Linked DNA regions of Tribolium castaneum. The protein of the gene in region 1 interacts with the protein of each later gene in a pairwise test. Links are inferred from orthologs where the notes say so. Each region holds a gene or a part of one and is shown in the gene's direction. Other genes may lie near its edges. The genes, in order: SkpA, ago, Fsn and FBXO11.

Evidence for each region.
Region 2: the proteins of SkpA (region 1) and ago interact in binary tests that used the Caenorhabditis elegans proteins (3 or more experiments, as listed by UniProt). The link is inferred for Tribolium castaneum from reciprocal best matches to the Caenorhabditis elegans genes skr-1 and sel-10.
Region 3: the proteins of SkpA (region 1) and Fsn interact in binary tests that used the Caenorhabditis elegans proteins (3 or more experiments, as listed by UniProt). The link is inferred for Tribolium castaneum from reciprocal best matches to the Caenorhabditis elegans genes skr-1 and fsn-1.
Region 4: the proteins of SkpA (region 1) and FBXO11 interact in binary tests that used the Caenorhabditis elegans proteins (3 or more experiments, as listed by UniProt). The link is inferred for Tribolium castaneum from reciprocal best matches to the Caenorhabditis elegans genes skr-1 and dre-1.

Annotation. Positions count from the first base shown.
Region 1 is NC_087402.1:1,039,209-1,041,673, reverse strand, and holds SkpA (S-phase kinase-associated protein 1), read left to right. Parts: upstream 1-1,275; 5' UTR 1,276-1,353; coding exon 1,354-1,842; 3' UTR 1,843-1,935; downstream 1,936-2,465. Other genes in the region: mitochondrial ornithine transporter 1, read left to right, coding at 1-187; uncharacterized protein LOC103312555, read right to left, coding at 294-447, 495-569, 618-757, 989-991. UniProt on the Caenorhabditis elegans protein: Probable essential component of SCF (SKP1-CUL1-F-box protein) E3 ubiquitin-protein ligase complexes, which mediate the ubiquitination and subsequent proteasomal degradation of target proteins.
Region 2 is NC_087394.1:36,172,882-36,176,451, reverse strand, and holds part of ago (archipelago), read left to right. Parts: intron 1-1,760; exon of another isoform or gene 1,761-2,366; intron 2,367-2,415; exon of another isoform or gene 2,416-2,601; coding exon 2,602-2,812; intron 2,813-3,148; coding exon 3,149-3,434; intron 3,435-3,570. UniProt on the Caenorhabditis elegans protein: Probable substrate recognition component of SCF (SKP1-CUL-F-box protein) E3 ubiquitin-protein ligase complex, which mediates the ubiquitination and subsequent proteasomal degradation of target proteins.
Region 3 is NC_087398.1:7,905,140-7,909,187, reverse strand, and holds the start of Fsn (F-box/SPRY domain-containing protein 1), read left to right. Parts: upstream 1-1,197; 5' UTR 1,198-1,280; coding exon 1,281-1,862; intron 1,863-2,531; exon of another isoform or gene 2,532-2,544; coding exon 2,545-2,635; intron 2,636-2,681; coding exon 2,682-2,776; 3' UTR 2,777-4,048. UniProt on the Caenorhabditis elegans protein: Component of a SCF (SKP1-CUL1-F-box protein) E3 ubiquitin ligase complex which is required for the restriction and/or maturation of synapses in GABAergic neuromuscular junction (NMJ) presynaptic neurons.
Region 4 is NC_087396.1:9,595,775-9,600,063, forward strand, and holds the start of FBXO11 (F-box only protein 11), read left to right. Parts: upstream 1-1,446; 5' UTR 1,447-1,491; coding exon 1,492-1,588; intron 1,589-2,040; exon of another isoform or gene 2,041-2,082; coding exon of another isoform or gene 2,083-2,152; intron 2,153-2,254; coding exon 2,255-2,569; intron 2,570-2,622; coding exon 2,623-2,773; intron 2,774-2,824; coding exon 2,825-3,207; intron 3,208-3,782; coding exon 3,783-4,007; intron 4,008-4,065; coding exon 4,066-4,289. Other genes in the region: Sras (CAAX prenyl protease 2), read right to left, coding at 1,226-1,338. UniProt on the Caenorhabditis elegans protein: Substrate recognition component of a SCF (SKP1-CUL1-F-box protein) E3 ubiquitin-protein ligase complex which mediates the ubiquitination and subsequent proteasomal degradation of target proteins including blmp-1.

The DNA of each region.
Region 1 (2,465 bases):
AAGTCGGATTCAAGTCACTAATAGTAAAATGAATATGGTTGCAATGATTTTGCAAATATCGAGGCGGGAAGGCTTCAGACAGCTTTATAACGGGTTGACTCCAACGTTAGTTCGGACTATTCCATCCACTGCCACTCTTTTTGCAACTTACGAGTATTCCAAAAGATTCCTCCACCAAATTTTCTGATTAGAAATAAAACTCGAACATAGTTTTTATATTTTATTTTTATCCAATAAATAAATAAATAGGAATACTGGGGTAATACTGTCCGGCCTGTCTTTTATTATTCTCCTCACTTCAGATAATTGCTATTTTCGGGATCGAACTCGGGGGACGATTCTATGGCTTTTTTCAGTAGTTCCCCGAAAAGACTCGGACTGTTAAGGATTGTAGGGAAATCGCGGGACCGGTCAATCCCCGAAAAATCGGAATCCAGGGCTGGCACCCTAACAAATGAATCAAACTTTTGCACTTTAATTGTTTTAATGACTACCTGTACTCGTCACTGAGACGGCTTAAAATGTCTCGCTTTTGCTGCCCGCGGCACACGGGAGAAAAAATGTGTGTCCTTAAATAATTAATTAATTAAATAAACCTGATATTATGTAATTAGTACCTGCAATGATTTTTTTTCAGCAAGTTGGGGTTTTTGACCAAAGCCCCGTGGGTAATTTCAATAGATAGGAAAATAATGCTGACGAATAACAACAAAGTGATTCGGTGGTCCGTAATGGACTTTTTCATTGTTGTGGAACCCTAAAAATCAGATAACAATTTGTTTGTGTTTTGCTCCAAAACACTTGAGAAGTCAAGTTAGATAAGAATTGGAAGTTTTCAAGTAATAAAGATTCGGTCAATTGTTGCGTCAGATTGTTACAATTAGTTGTTTTTATGCAATAAAGAGTGTTATCGCAAAAATTTCAAAATAATGTGTAAGAAAGAGGGTGATAAGGAGAAAATCAAAAAAGACGACTCAGACAGACTTACCATTGTTTGGCTTGGAGACAGGCGGTGAAGACGGACAATCTGGCTCCCAAATTCTTGGGCCACCTCTTTTAAATCAAGAGCGGGGTCTTGCGCAAACCAAGTGCAACAATTTTAACGCACAATTAAGCTTTATATTGCGGCTCTTCCCATATTACATTATCCGAGGCAAATAACGCGCTACGTGTTTTGATGAAAATTTTGCCGCGTCATTGCGTATTTGCTGCAATAACTCGTTTTGAATTAATTTGTTTATAACAATTGGTTCGAATCTGGCGCCCGTGTGGGGACGCTTGCGCGTTACACCTGTCATCCACCATTATTGCCGTCTATTGTCATATTCTGTCATCGAAGAAAAACCGTGAAAAATGCCGAATATTAAACTGCGTTCCTCCGACGGTGAAACGTTCGAGGTGGACGTGGAGATCGCGAAATGTTCAGTGACCATCAAGACCATGCTGGAGGACCTGGGGATGGACGAGGAGGAAGAGGAAGTGGTGCCTCTCCCCAATGTCAATTCGGCGATTTTGAAGAAAGTTATCCAGTGGTCCACTTATCACAAAGATGATCCTCCACCGCCCGAAGACGACGAGAACAAGGAGAAACGCACGGATGATATTTCGTCATGGGACGCCGATTTTCTCAAAGTGGACCAAGGCACTTTGTTTGAGCTGATCCTGGCGGCGAATTACCTGGACATCAAGGGGCTGCTCGATGTGACTTGCAAGACAGTCGCCAACATGATCAAGGGCAAGGCCCCCGAGGAGATCCGCAAGACTTTCAACATCAAGAACGACTTCACAGCCTCCGAGGAGGAGCAAGTGCGCAAGGAGAACGAATGGTGTGAGGAGAAGTAAACTCGTATTTTTTTTATTTAAGATTATTTCCAAAATTGCGTTCATTGTTTTATTGTAATATGATTATTTAAATCAAACGCCATTTCGACCCAACTGGTTGTTTATTTGCACCTTAACCAATTATAATAGGTGTCGGATAAAATATAGTATACAAGTGTTAAAATACGCCATAATCATCGCAAGACCCCGCCTCGTTCCCGCAAATGCGGGCCCCCATAAACGCCCCCATTAAAACCGCTACAAATATCATCGTTAAAAACCCTAAAAAGTACAGCCACGTCCTGGAGGAACACAAGGACCACCAACACCTACAACTCGCAATTAATTGGCAGCTTTTTAACCACAACTAACCCTCGGGTAAAACACCCATTTCGCTTGATTTCATCCTCCACGAAATTTTCCGACTTGGATAGTTGTTCATTCATTAATTTAATAATTTTGCATTTGATGTGTTTGAGCTTCTGTTTCGTTTCCAAAACGTCGCAGTCACAATCATCATCACGGCTCATTAAACTGGAATTGTGTTAGGATTAAGGAAATTCAATTTGTAGTGTGCAAATTGAGATTATGACGTTAAGGTGTCATTTTGGGCACGTAACTTCAGTGTCACAAAGGGACCCCGA
Region 2 (3,570 bases), on another chromosome or scaffold:
GGCTCTTTTAGTTTGGCCGTAATCGGCGATTGAAAATTGAAAAATTGAGATATCGCCTTGAGTCCCATGACATTTTTATTCCGGTTATCCTCCATTTTTTCGTTTCTCGATATCTTTAATAGTTTCGCCGTAATTGGCGATTGAAAATTGAAAAAAAGTGAAAATGGAAACCTTTTTTTGCGTTTTTCTCGGAAACTGTAAGACTTAGAGCAACGAACAAAAAACCATCTGATAGCGCTTAATTTTATCTATTTTTTCGACCAAACCCGGAGCCGCTCCGGGCAACGGTTCTGGCTACAGAGGCGATCAAAGTTTTTCACTAAAAAATTCATTAAAAAAAAACTAAAAGTCGTAGAGCATTGCGGTTTGTTCGATTGAATTCTACGGCTCATTTTACATATTATATCGATTTTTTACAAGAATTAAAAATTTAAAACTTTTTGCCTAAATTTAGGGTAGCCATTTGTCATAATGAAAAATTTTATTTATTAAGAAAATTCATAACTCGAAAACTAAAAGTCGTAGAGCAGTGCGGTTTATTCCATTGGATTCAGCGGCTTTTTTTCTCTATTATACTAATTTTTCACGCAATTTAAAATTTTCAATTTTTTTGCTCAAATTTCCTGAGTACCTCAAGAGGTGAAAAAAATATTTTTTTTTAACTAACTCCAGCAAATTTTTATGGACTTCTACATGTCTTAACAACCCACAAAAGTTGTTAAAAGTCCACAAAAAGTCCAAATGTTCGATTTTTTGATGTTTGATTTTTTCAATTTTCGTCGCAATTTTTGTTGATTTTGGGTACCCGGAACATTTGTCGAGCAATAGCTCCGGAACTATTAGAGATAACCCCATGAAGTGTATTATCGTTGGAAAGCTCTTTAAATTATCTATTTTTTTCAAAAAAGATTATTGTTCTCCGACTAATAGTTTTCGAGCAAATTGCTGCTAAATGCAAAATTTGGTAAAATTTTAAAAAATTCATAACTAAAAAACTGTTGGGAATTTGGCAATTTTCTTGATGCCAATCGATTCCCCGGATCATTTTGCATAGGTATGGATCAAAACAGTTTCACTTTTTAGAATATTTTAGCCGTAAATGAGAAAATAAAAAAAAATAAAAAAAAGTTAACACCCCCCCCCTTAAAACCGGTCAATTTTTAAAGTGTCTCAAAATTAAATGAAACCTATTCTATCTTATAGATTTTGATGTGCTCTTTTCGATCTAAAAAAGCGTTTTCTCCTAGCTCTTTTAGTTTGGCCGTAATCGGCGTTTGAAAATTGAAAATTTTTTTGCGAGATATCGCCTTGAGTCTTATGCCATTTTGTAGAGTTTTTTATTCCGGTTGTCCTCGATTTTTCCGTTTTTCGATAACTCTAATAGTTTCGCCGTAATTGGCGGTTAAAAATTGAAAAAAAGTGAAAATGGAAACCTTTTTTTGCGTTTTTCTCGGAAACTGTAAAACTTAGAGCAACGAACAAAAAACCATCTGATAGCGCTTAATTTTATCTATTTTTTCGACCAAACCCCGAGCCGGTACGGGCAACGGTTCCGGCTACAGAGGCGATCAAAGTTTTTCACTAAAAAAATTCATAAAAAAAAAACTAAAAGTCGTAGAGCATTGCGGTTTGTTCGATTGAATTCTACGGCTCATTTTACATATTATATCGATTTTTCACAAGAATTAAAAATTTAAAATTTTTTGCCTAAATTTAGGGTAGCCATTTGTCATTGTGAAAAATTTTATTCATTAAAAAAATTCATAACTCAAAATCAAAAAGTCGTAGAGCAATGCGGTTTGTTCCATTGAATTCAGCGGCTCATTTTCTGTATTATACCAACTTTTCACGAGATTTAAAATTTTCAATTTTTTTGCTCAATTTCCTGAGTAAAATACACTTACCTTCAAAGAGGTGAAAAAAAATTTTTTTTTAAACTAACTCCAGCAAATTCTTATGGACTTCTACATGTCTTAACAACCCACTAAAGTTGTTAAAAGTCCAAATATTCGATTTTTTATGTTTGATTTTTTCAATTTTCGTCGCAATTTTTGTCAATTTTCGGTACCCGGAACATTTATTTATTTATTTATAGATAACCTTATGAAGTTTATTATCGTTGGAAAACTCTGTTAATTATCTATCTTTTAAAAAAAAGGACATTGCTCTCCGACTAATAGTTTTCGTAAAAATTGCAAACAGAAACAAAAAAAATCGTTTTCAAAATTTATTTTTTTTACAAATGATTAATGAGTGTATTTAAACTTAATCAAGTGTTGAGAAGAAAGTATTTTGTTTTAGATTGTGGTGATAAATCTGTATCCGAAAATTTAAAAAAATTAAAAAACATCAACCGTACTTATAATGTAAATAACTATTAAAATTACAACAACATTGTATGTAATATTATTGTAGATTTTTGTTTACGGGTCCAATGATTACGTAGTAAAAGGTTTGAGGTTTATGTCGAGTTCCATATTAAGATATGTTGAACTCCAGAATCAGATGATGACAGTTTTGAATGAGGGCCATAATGAAACATTTCATTCATTATAATTAGTTGTTTTACTTTAATTTAATTGTTTTTTGTTAATTTTCTAGTTTGATGGCGTTCATGTGGTCAGCGGTTCTTTGGATACGAGCATTCGAGTGTGGGAAGTTGAGACGGGAGCTTGCAAACATACGCTTATGGGTCACCAGTCCCTAACATCCGGTATGGAATTACGAAATAATATTTTAGTGTCCGGAAATGCCGATTCCACCGTTAAAGTTTGGGACATAGTGACCGGTCAGTGCCTACAAACCCTTTCAGGTAAGATTCTTGCACCTCTTTTGTAACATCACTGTTACAAAATACTCTTAATTATCATTAAAATAAGCAAATGCAGTTATAGTGTAGTGTAATTATATTCCTATGTTTATTATTAAAAAAAAAAAAAAAAAAACTCGCAGCATGCCCTGATACTTGTAGAACAATTTTTATCATTGTATTGTTGGTTGTCTACTAAACCATTTTATTATATTTTATTAAGCTGTTCTTTTAATTTCATTTTATACTGTTGTGTTAAAATATGTAATTAAATAGCAGTGAATTAAGCAAATTGAGTAATAAACAAATGTAGATTTGATGTTACTTTCCATTTTCCAGGACCATACAAACATCAGTCAGCCGTAACTTGCCTCCAATTCAACAATCGTTTTGTGATAACTTCCTCGGATGATGGAACTGTAAAATTATGGGACGTTCGCACCGGCGAGTTCATCAGAAACCTGGTGGCTTTGGACAGTGGTGGCTCAGGAGGCGTTGTGTGGCGGATTCGCGCCAACGACACGAAACTAGTGTGCGCGGTTGGAAGTCGTAACGGCACAGAAGAAACAAAACTACTAGTGTTGGACTTTGATGTCGATTCTAACTCCAGTACCATCATTTCTAGGTAATTACAGACTGCAAAAAATTGTATGAGTGCGCGTGTTTGTAGACCTACGACTTTTAAAAAGCATACTACTGATGTTGCTATCAAATTTCATGTCTTTGACAAACCCAATAATTTCAACTACTAAACGTTTTCA
Region 3 (4,048 bases), on another chromosome or scaffold:
AAAATACTATTTTGCACTATAATGACGAAATAGTCAGTAAATACGGTAAACACAAATGTAAAAGAATAATTATAAAATACTATTTATTACCTGTTTCGAAACCATAAAAATGCCAACATCACATTTTCTCTCAAAATTTGTTGTAATGGGTCAATTCACGACGGTATGCGTGTGGATATGGTAAATGTAATGTAGTTTTTCGACCTGTTATCTTCTTATAGATCTTAATACTAATTGTTCATACTCTTCTGACTGAATTTTTAGTCATCATAGCATGAATAGCAAAGGAAAGAAGCTCATACCCACACGCAAACCGTTATGAATTGACCCCATCAATATTTTGTAATTTTTGTTTTTATTTTTTAAAGCAAAAACCAAAAAAATACACGTTTTTAAGTAGAATATTTTTTTGGGGATTTTTTTTTTAAATCCAAATCTGTCATTGCCTTTTTCAAGACGTTCTTGATGTTAGAGTTACGACACTCAACTTTAGCCATATTTGATACTTGCATTTTTTAAAAGTTTTTTTATTTCTGCTAACAATTCGATGTATCACATAATGATCAGCAATTTTCGTAAAAATGCTTTTTCTCCATTTTGATCAGCATGTAATATTTGATCATATTTTGTGATACATCGTTGAAATCAGAAATAAAAACGACAAACGGACACCCTGTATTTATAAATATGTTTATTGCTGATTGTTTTTTACAGCCGTAAAACTATTTTTTTGTATTCTTATATTGCATATGAAATATAGATTTGTCGAACATGTAACATATAAAGAACAGTTTATTGAAAAGCTAAAGCGGCTTCAGAGGAATAAAAGTGCCGAATCAATTTTAGTAGAAACGAAAATTTAAACATTTTAAAACAACAATGAAAATTGTTGCTAAATACAAAAATTATGTAAAAATAAATACATTTCTGAAAATGAAAATGTGTCCTGGGTGTCGATTCTAAACCAATACTTCGACTCGAAAAGTGTTTTGAATGCTTCTGTTTATGATTTTTTAGATTTGACTGATTCTGCCGATGTCTGTTTCTAGAGATGTCCTGTTCTGTCGCTAATTTTTTGTTGAACACCACCTCTATTATATACGTGAATTTTTCTAGATCAGTTCGCGTCCTCAATAAACCGCGTTATTGGACGTCGTGAATGCAAATTTCGCGTGTTTATAAATAATTTAAGCGGATTTTATTGAAATCGCAATCAGTCGGTTCGAGCGGTTGGTATCGCTGTCAAGTGTCAAGTGTCAGACGGGTTGGTCCGTTCAAAAATGGATGCCGCTGTAGCATCAACATTGCCCGATAATGTGTTGGAAGTAATTTTTTCATATTTGTCTCTGCATGATTTGAGGAACTGTTCTTTAGTGTGTAAGAGATGGTATAGTTTTTTAAATGATGAAAATAACGACGTTTGGAGGCTGCACTGTATTCGGAAACTAGCCGAAGAAGCACTAAAGTCAGATTTGTTGTCTTCAGTTCCTACGTATAAAGCGAAATTGCGGGCGTTTTACCACGCCTGGAATCCGAACGACTGCTCTAGAAATATTTATATTAAGCCTAATGGGTTCACGTTACACCGAAATCCCGTAGCTCAAAGCACGGACGCTTCGAGAGGTAAAATCGGATTTAGACATGGGAGACACGCTTGGGAGGTGATCTGGGAAGGGCCCTTGGGGACGGTCGCCGTCATAGGAATTGCCACAAAAGACGCACCTCTGCAGTGTCACGGTTACGTGGCCCTGCTGGGCTCGGACGACCAGAGTTGGGGCTGGAACTTAGTTGATAATCATTTACTGCACAATGGAGATGCTCAAGGCAATTACCCGCTACTTAACAATGCCCCTAAATATCAAGTAAGTTCGCTGGTCCACCTACAGTCTGTTCTTTATTTAAACGGAAATTACCAAGTCCAAGACTCTATATTATGTAATTTTTTTATTATTTATTTTGACTGGAAATGGCAAGTTCTTTTGCCAAAACTACACCTTTTTCAACTGTATTTTAGAAATACTCAGGTTTATTTCAGAAGATGTTATTGTAATTCATATTAGTAAAGTTAAAGTTTTGATATTTTGTAGACGTTATTTATAATCTAGGACGTATTTTAGGATAATATTTTTGATTATATGGAGTGTCCCCAAAAAGAATGAGGGCATAATATTTTTTTAATGGCAAGCTTTTTTTCGTGCTCTTTAGGATACCTTTTTACCTAGTTTTTTTAAATTAGTTTGGGGATTTCAAAAAATTAAAAAAAATGGTTTTCCACCTTTAGTTTTAAAAATTAATAAAAAATAGAAACAGTGCTTTTTTGCTAACATTATTAGTACGTACGTGTTGTATAAGTTCTATTTGTAAGTTCGACACTTTACTTCTCTTGGTTAAAATTTGAAATAAGATTAATCTTGCATAACAGAAAGTGACCAACTTTTTAATTTTTAAAACTTATAATTTTTTGACGCTATTTGTTGTTTTGCGGTTGGTTTTCCGTTTAAATAAAAAACAGACTTTAGTTTTTGTCTTAGTTGGGTTTTGCAGGTTGGGGAGCGAATTCGGGTGATTTTAGATTGTGATGACAACACGCTATCTTTTGAAAAAAACTACGAGTTTTTGGGAGTGGCCTTTAGAGGTAAAGCGCTTTTTGGAGCGAGATGGTGTTTCATGAGGTGTTTCAGGATTGCCAGATAAAAAATTGTATCCAACAGTTTCTGCCGTTTACGGAAACACTGAAGTTTCAATGGTGTATCTCGGACCACCTTTAGATGGCTAACACAGCTGGAAGTTGACGTTAGTCTGTTAATTAACTGAAAAAAGGGGTTGGATGCTTCAAGATGGCTCATTCAGGACAGCAGGTTTGCCCATGTGATAATTACATTTTACTTCAGTCAGTCATACTTCCATTAAAAATGAGTATGTAGGACAATTTAAACAATGGTAGATGTAGAATTTTTATAACAGTAGACTAAGAGAGGTGCATTTGAAGTATATGTTGTCACAAACTTAACTAAATAACAGTCCACAAGGAGGAATTGATTTCGTTTTAATACGTTTTATTTATTTTTTAGATGCTACCACTTTTTACATCAAATGCACTAAGTAAATAAACATTTTGCCATATTCCGTGACCTGATTGCCACTTTTTTAACACTGAAACAGAAACATTGAGTGAGTAGACTTTTAGGGAATCAATTCAAATTGGGTGCTTTCTTGCAATTTTTTGTTGCAATATTTTCATCATTACTGCTATAAAATTGCCTCCCAGTAACAAATTTTAATAACACTGCCAAAATACAGGAGTTACGCAGCTGAAATAAAAGACAATGAAAAAAGTCGTAATTATTAAAAATTGTAATGACGTGGTTTGATATCTATCTGTTTAATGAGTATCGAAATTTGCATATGAATGCATAATGGTGTTTTTAGTGATCGTTTGACCCCAGATATGTTTTTATGCAAAGTAGAACAAACATTTTTATTGAAAAAACGGAGGTAATTTTATAGTAGCAATGACCTCCAGGACCGGATCGAGACTTTATTTATTTTTAGGAACAAATTCATCGAAAGTTCAGGATATTTTTAGACAAGGGTTGACCAAAAAATTACAAAATAAAAAAATAAATTGTTTTATCGAAAAAAAAAAAATTGAGCCTTTTACCAATAGTTTAACACATTTTGTTACAAATGAACGGAAATATCACGCGAGTGATTTAAATGTGGAGCAATTTTTGCAATTTTCGAACTTTTTTAAGTACGTTTGACATGAAATTGTTACACAAAAATTCCTGATTGGGTTAAAAATGCATTATTTTTGCGTATTTTAGCGTTTAAGTGATACTTTTTTGGTTCAAAAACAGTGATATTGTTGCTTATTTAAACACAGTCTTCTGAAGAAATATTATTTATCAGTAAGTTACTAATTGTTTTAACTTTTTACCCTCGATCCGGCCTTGGTGGTGCCAATTTTGTAGAATGACTACATTTTTGATTAATTTTTTACGTTGGCAGTCAATGTAGTCGTGTACAAGTCTCGAAAAATAAGCCA
Region 4 (4,289 bases), on another chromosome or scaffold:
TTAGACGTAATGTGCCGCTTTATATAAATAGTGAATGTCGTCAAAGTGACATATCCGTCAAACTTTTCTCAAACGTGATGTCATTATCAATTTCCACTCAAGCTTACGCTTGAATCGGACATATTGTACGGACGAATAGCTATAAATTATTCATACACTTCAAAATAACAATAATGTAATTTATACTTTCAATGAAAGATCTAATTATTAATAACTATTTTGCATTTTTATCAACCTTACTTAAAAAATAATTTGGTAAAATGCGACTTTGGCATTTACGTAGTTTTGAAACACCTAATATGTAAACGCCAACGTCGCATTTCCTATCTAAATTTGTTGTTATAAAGTATTTATGCAAAATTAGTAGTTAATGTAATTATACTTTCAATGAGAGATCTAATCACTATAACTATTTTACATTTTTATCAACCTTATTTTAAAAAAATAAGTTGGGGAAATGCGACGTTGACGTTTACATAGTTACATAGTTTGTAAACAACTAAAACTATTTGAAAGCTTATTATTTGATCTCTTCAGCTTGATTTAGTTAATCAGCGTTTTCAAACAAGTTAAAAAAATGTTAAAGTTTACTCTAATTATAACTTCAAATGATCACATAATATTAACATGAACCGTACACATTTTTTTGCATAAAATAAAATCCTTTGAATGTATCCAGATCCACTGAACAATTCTGCCGCGTTAGGGTCGACTGTAGATTATAACATACAACAACTATAAGCTGCAAAATTTGCATTGACCGAACATGCCCCATGTCCGAACGTACCCCGCACTCCCCTACTTGGGAATACATTTTGCTTGTCTTTTGTTATTTGAAGGCTCAGGTAACACACCTGGACTTTATCCTTTTATGCAATATGTGAAAATTATTTCAACTGTATAAACGGTTCAAAATATGAAAAAAAAATTTTCCCATGATAAAAAAATTCGTATTTTTAATATATTACTAATTACATTGAATAAACAAGTTAATCATTTCTTGTATTTTTTGTGTAATAAAAAGAGTAACGTAGTGACGTTTATTGGTCTTGTTCTTTTCTTTTCCTCCGCCATCCGACATTGAATTTGTCGTAGACTATACCGTAACGGGGAGCGGCGGGAGGTGCGCGGTGCGGAGGGCATCCGTCGCAAGCCTACTTGATTTTGTTCATGTTGTGTGAAAAGGTGTTTTTCGTGTCCTTATCCTGAAAGGTGAATGGATTACCTGTTGTGCGGCGACTTCCAGACGTGTAAACTGGCGACATAAGTCACCGACATCAGCAAGCATAGCCCGATGGAACGAAAACAATCAAAAATTCCATAGAAATCCTGCACCATTCTGACATTTTAACGGTCACGTGACGTCAAACCAGCCCGGTGATTGGTTGGTCCGGTTCCGTGGTTGTCGGAACGGTAGCGAATATGGCCGCCAGTGCTAGTTCCAGTGTCTCCTTTGTTTAGAGATTGGTTTTGGTGCTAGTGCTAGAAAAAATGCCGAGCGCCTCTTTCACGGCCTCCAGGTCGTACGTAAGGAGGTCCCGCAGGAAGGGCGCTAACAGGATCCCGACTCCTTCCAGGACCACGTCTGGTAAGTGTAGCTGCTGCGACCCGAATCCCCCTATTGTCACCTTCGAGAGAATGCGAAAACAGTTATTTGGGGCCCCAAATATCGATTTTAGTTCATCAAAGACTCTTGTGGCGGACGCATCTGCGTAAAAATAACAGGGCTGCCCACATCGCAACAACCCAAATAAGTCCAGATAACGATTTTTATCGTCGCGAAATATTTGTAAACATGGCAGGCAGCCCCACGCAGGGGCTCCACCTTACGCTCACTCACACCATATTTCATACATCCCTCAATATCGATTTCCATCAAGTGGCTAAATTGCCTTTTAATTGACATAAAAACGACCGAATTAACTGCACTAGGACCCCTCAATGTAAATACAAAACGTAATTAATTCAGTTGCAAGGTTTTATTTTTCGACTGTTGCTAAACCCGGTTAGATCATCACGTTTCAGCTTCAGTAAATCGGTATCCTTCATTTTGTTGGAAATTTTCTTTGTGGCATTTGGCAGATGAGTTTAATAATCTTTAGCCCGAATAACAGCACTGAAAGCGTGGTTTTGGTTGCTACTAAAAATACTTGTAAGCAAACATACGGTCGAAAACAAGTTAAACATAGCCAAAGCTGAAAAATTTTTCATTTCGCCAACAAGCAATGAATAATTGTTGAAATTTGTTTCGCAGCAGAGCCATGCGAACCTTCCTGTCCTGTACCTAACCAAAACATTCCAGCACCTACGGCGGCCGCTCCGGGCTCTGGGGGGCCTTCAGCAATGGCCCCTGGGACCAGCGGCGGCGCCATTCCAGCCCATCACTCTCCTTACGACCTTCGACGTAAGTCTCCGTCCCATCACGACGGGCCGGGGCCCAGCACCAGCGCCGCGACGGCAGGATCGCCCACTTCCCCGGCGACTCCGACGGCACCAGCACAAGGGTACACTTCCGCCATGCTTCCGGCGAGGAAACGTCCAAGACGGACTTGTTCCGCTTCGTACGAGAGTACGATCACAATTTTCCGAAAAAAATACCATTCTCAAAACGAGCTTTTGCAGATTGTACAAACACAGCCGCTCATTATCTCCAATACGAGCTGCCGGACGAAGTTTTGCTCACGATATTCAATTATTTACTCGAACAAGATTTGTGTCGTGTGAGTCAAGTGTGTAAACGGTTTCAGGCCATTGCGAATGATACCGAGATTTGGTAATAATTTGACCATTTGCTGTGAAATGCAACTTGATTGATTTTTTTTAGGAAACGCCTATATCAGAGTGTCTATGAATACGATTTGCCCTTGTTTAATCCGGCACCTTGTGTTTTCCAATTTATCAGTCCGGAGGAGTCTGATTTGGCTAATCCATGGAAGGAGTCTTTCCGTCAGTTGTATCGCGGGATACACGTTCGACCAGGTTATCAAGACTTGACGTTCAAAGGACGCAATCTTGTGTACTTTAATACGATACAAGCGGCTTTAGATTATGCCGATGAACGTAGTGGTAGTAATAGTACGAGCGGTTGTCTCTTGGTCAATAATAATCACACTGAGGGTACCACTCAAGGCGCACTCATATTTCTACATGCCGGTACTTATCGTGGAGAGTTCCTCGTAATCGACGACTCAGACATTGCTCTTATAGGTTTGTAAAATATTACTTACTAAAATGTCTTTATTGGCTATTTAACTTTACAATCCTTGAAATTATTTGATATTCTACCTTACGTATACTTACACTTCTTTATTTTTTTTCAATTTTCTTCTTGCACCTTATCTTTCTCTCCCAGGTATGCTAAGAATAATGCAAGCTTTAACGCACAACCTTGACTTACGTCTTTAATTGTTCAAAAACATTTGCTCGTCTCTTGATTAATCGTTTCTTCAAAATTTTCTCTATTTTTTTAACTTTCTAATTTTCAGTTCTTCTTTTGTAAGTTCGTTTATTTCCTGTAATGGTTCGACACTTTTGATCTCACTACAACTGTTTTGACTTCCCTTTAGTACTTCCATAAAGTGATCGTTCCACTTTTCCATACTTATATTTTCATTTATTTTGTCTTTACTTTTGCTTTCTTTATTTGTAAGATTCCACACCTCCAACTCTGTCCTAATTTCTTTTATTTTGTATACTTTTTTTTCTTCACACTTGTACTGTTTTCTTACTTCGGTCTACAAAATATTACTGTCGTACTTGTTACTTATCGAATTTTTTTGAAGGTGCGGCACCTGGGAACGTGGCCGAATCCGTGATACTAGAACGAGAATCCGAATCGACGGTGATGTTCGTCGAAGGTGCAAAAAACGCCTACTGTGGCCATCTTACGTTGAAATTTTCACCTGATGTCACATCTACAGTACCTCACCATAAACATTATTGTCTCGAAGTTGGAGAAAATTGTAGTCCGACTATAGATCATTGCATTATACGAAGCACATCAGTTGGTAAGTCTTGCGTTCAATTTAAAGTCAAAGTTTTGTACATTTTTTTTGTATTGATTAGTTGGTGCGGCCGTTTGTGTGAGTGGTGCCGGCGCAAATCCCGTCATACGTCATTGTGATATAAGTGATTGTGAAAATGTCGGCTTGTACGTCACCGATTTTGCCCAAGGAACGTATGAAGATAACGAGATCAGTCGGAATGCATTGGCTGGTATTTGGGTGAAAAATAACGCGAACCCGATCATGCGTCGTAATCACATACACCATGGAAGGGACGTCGGAATA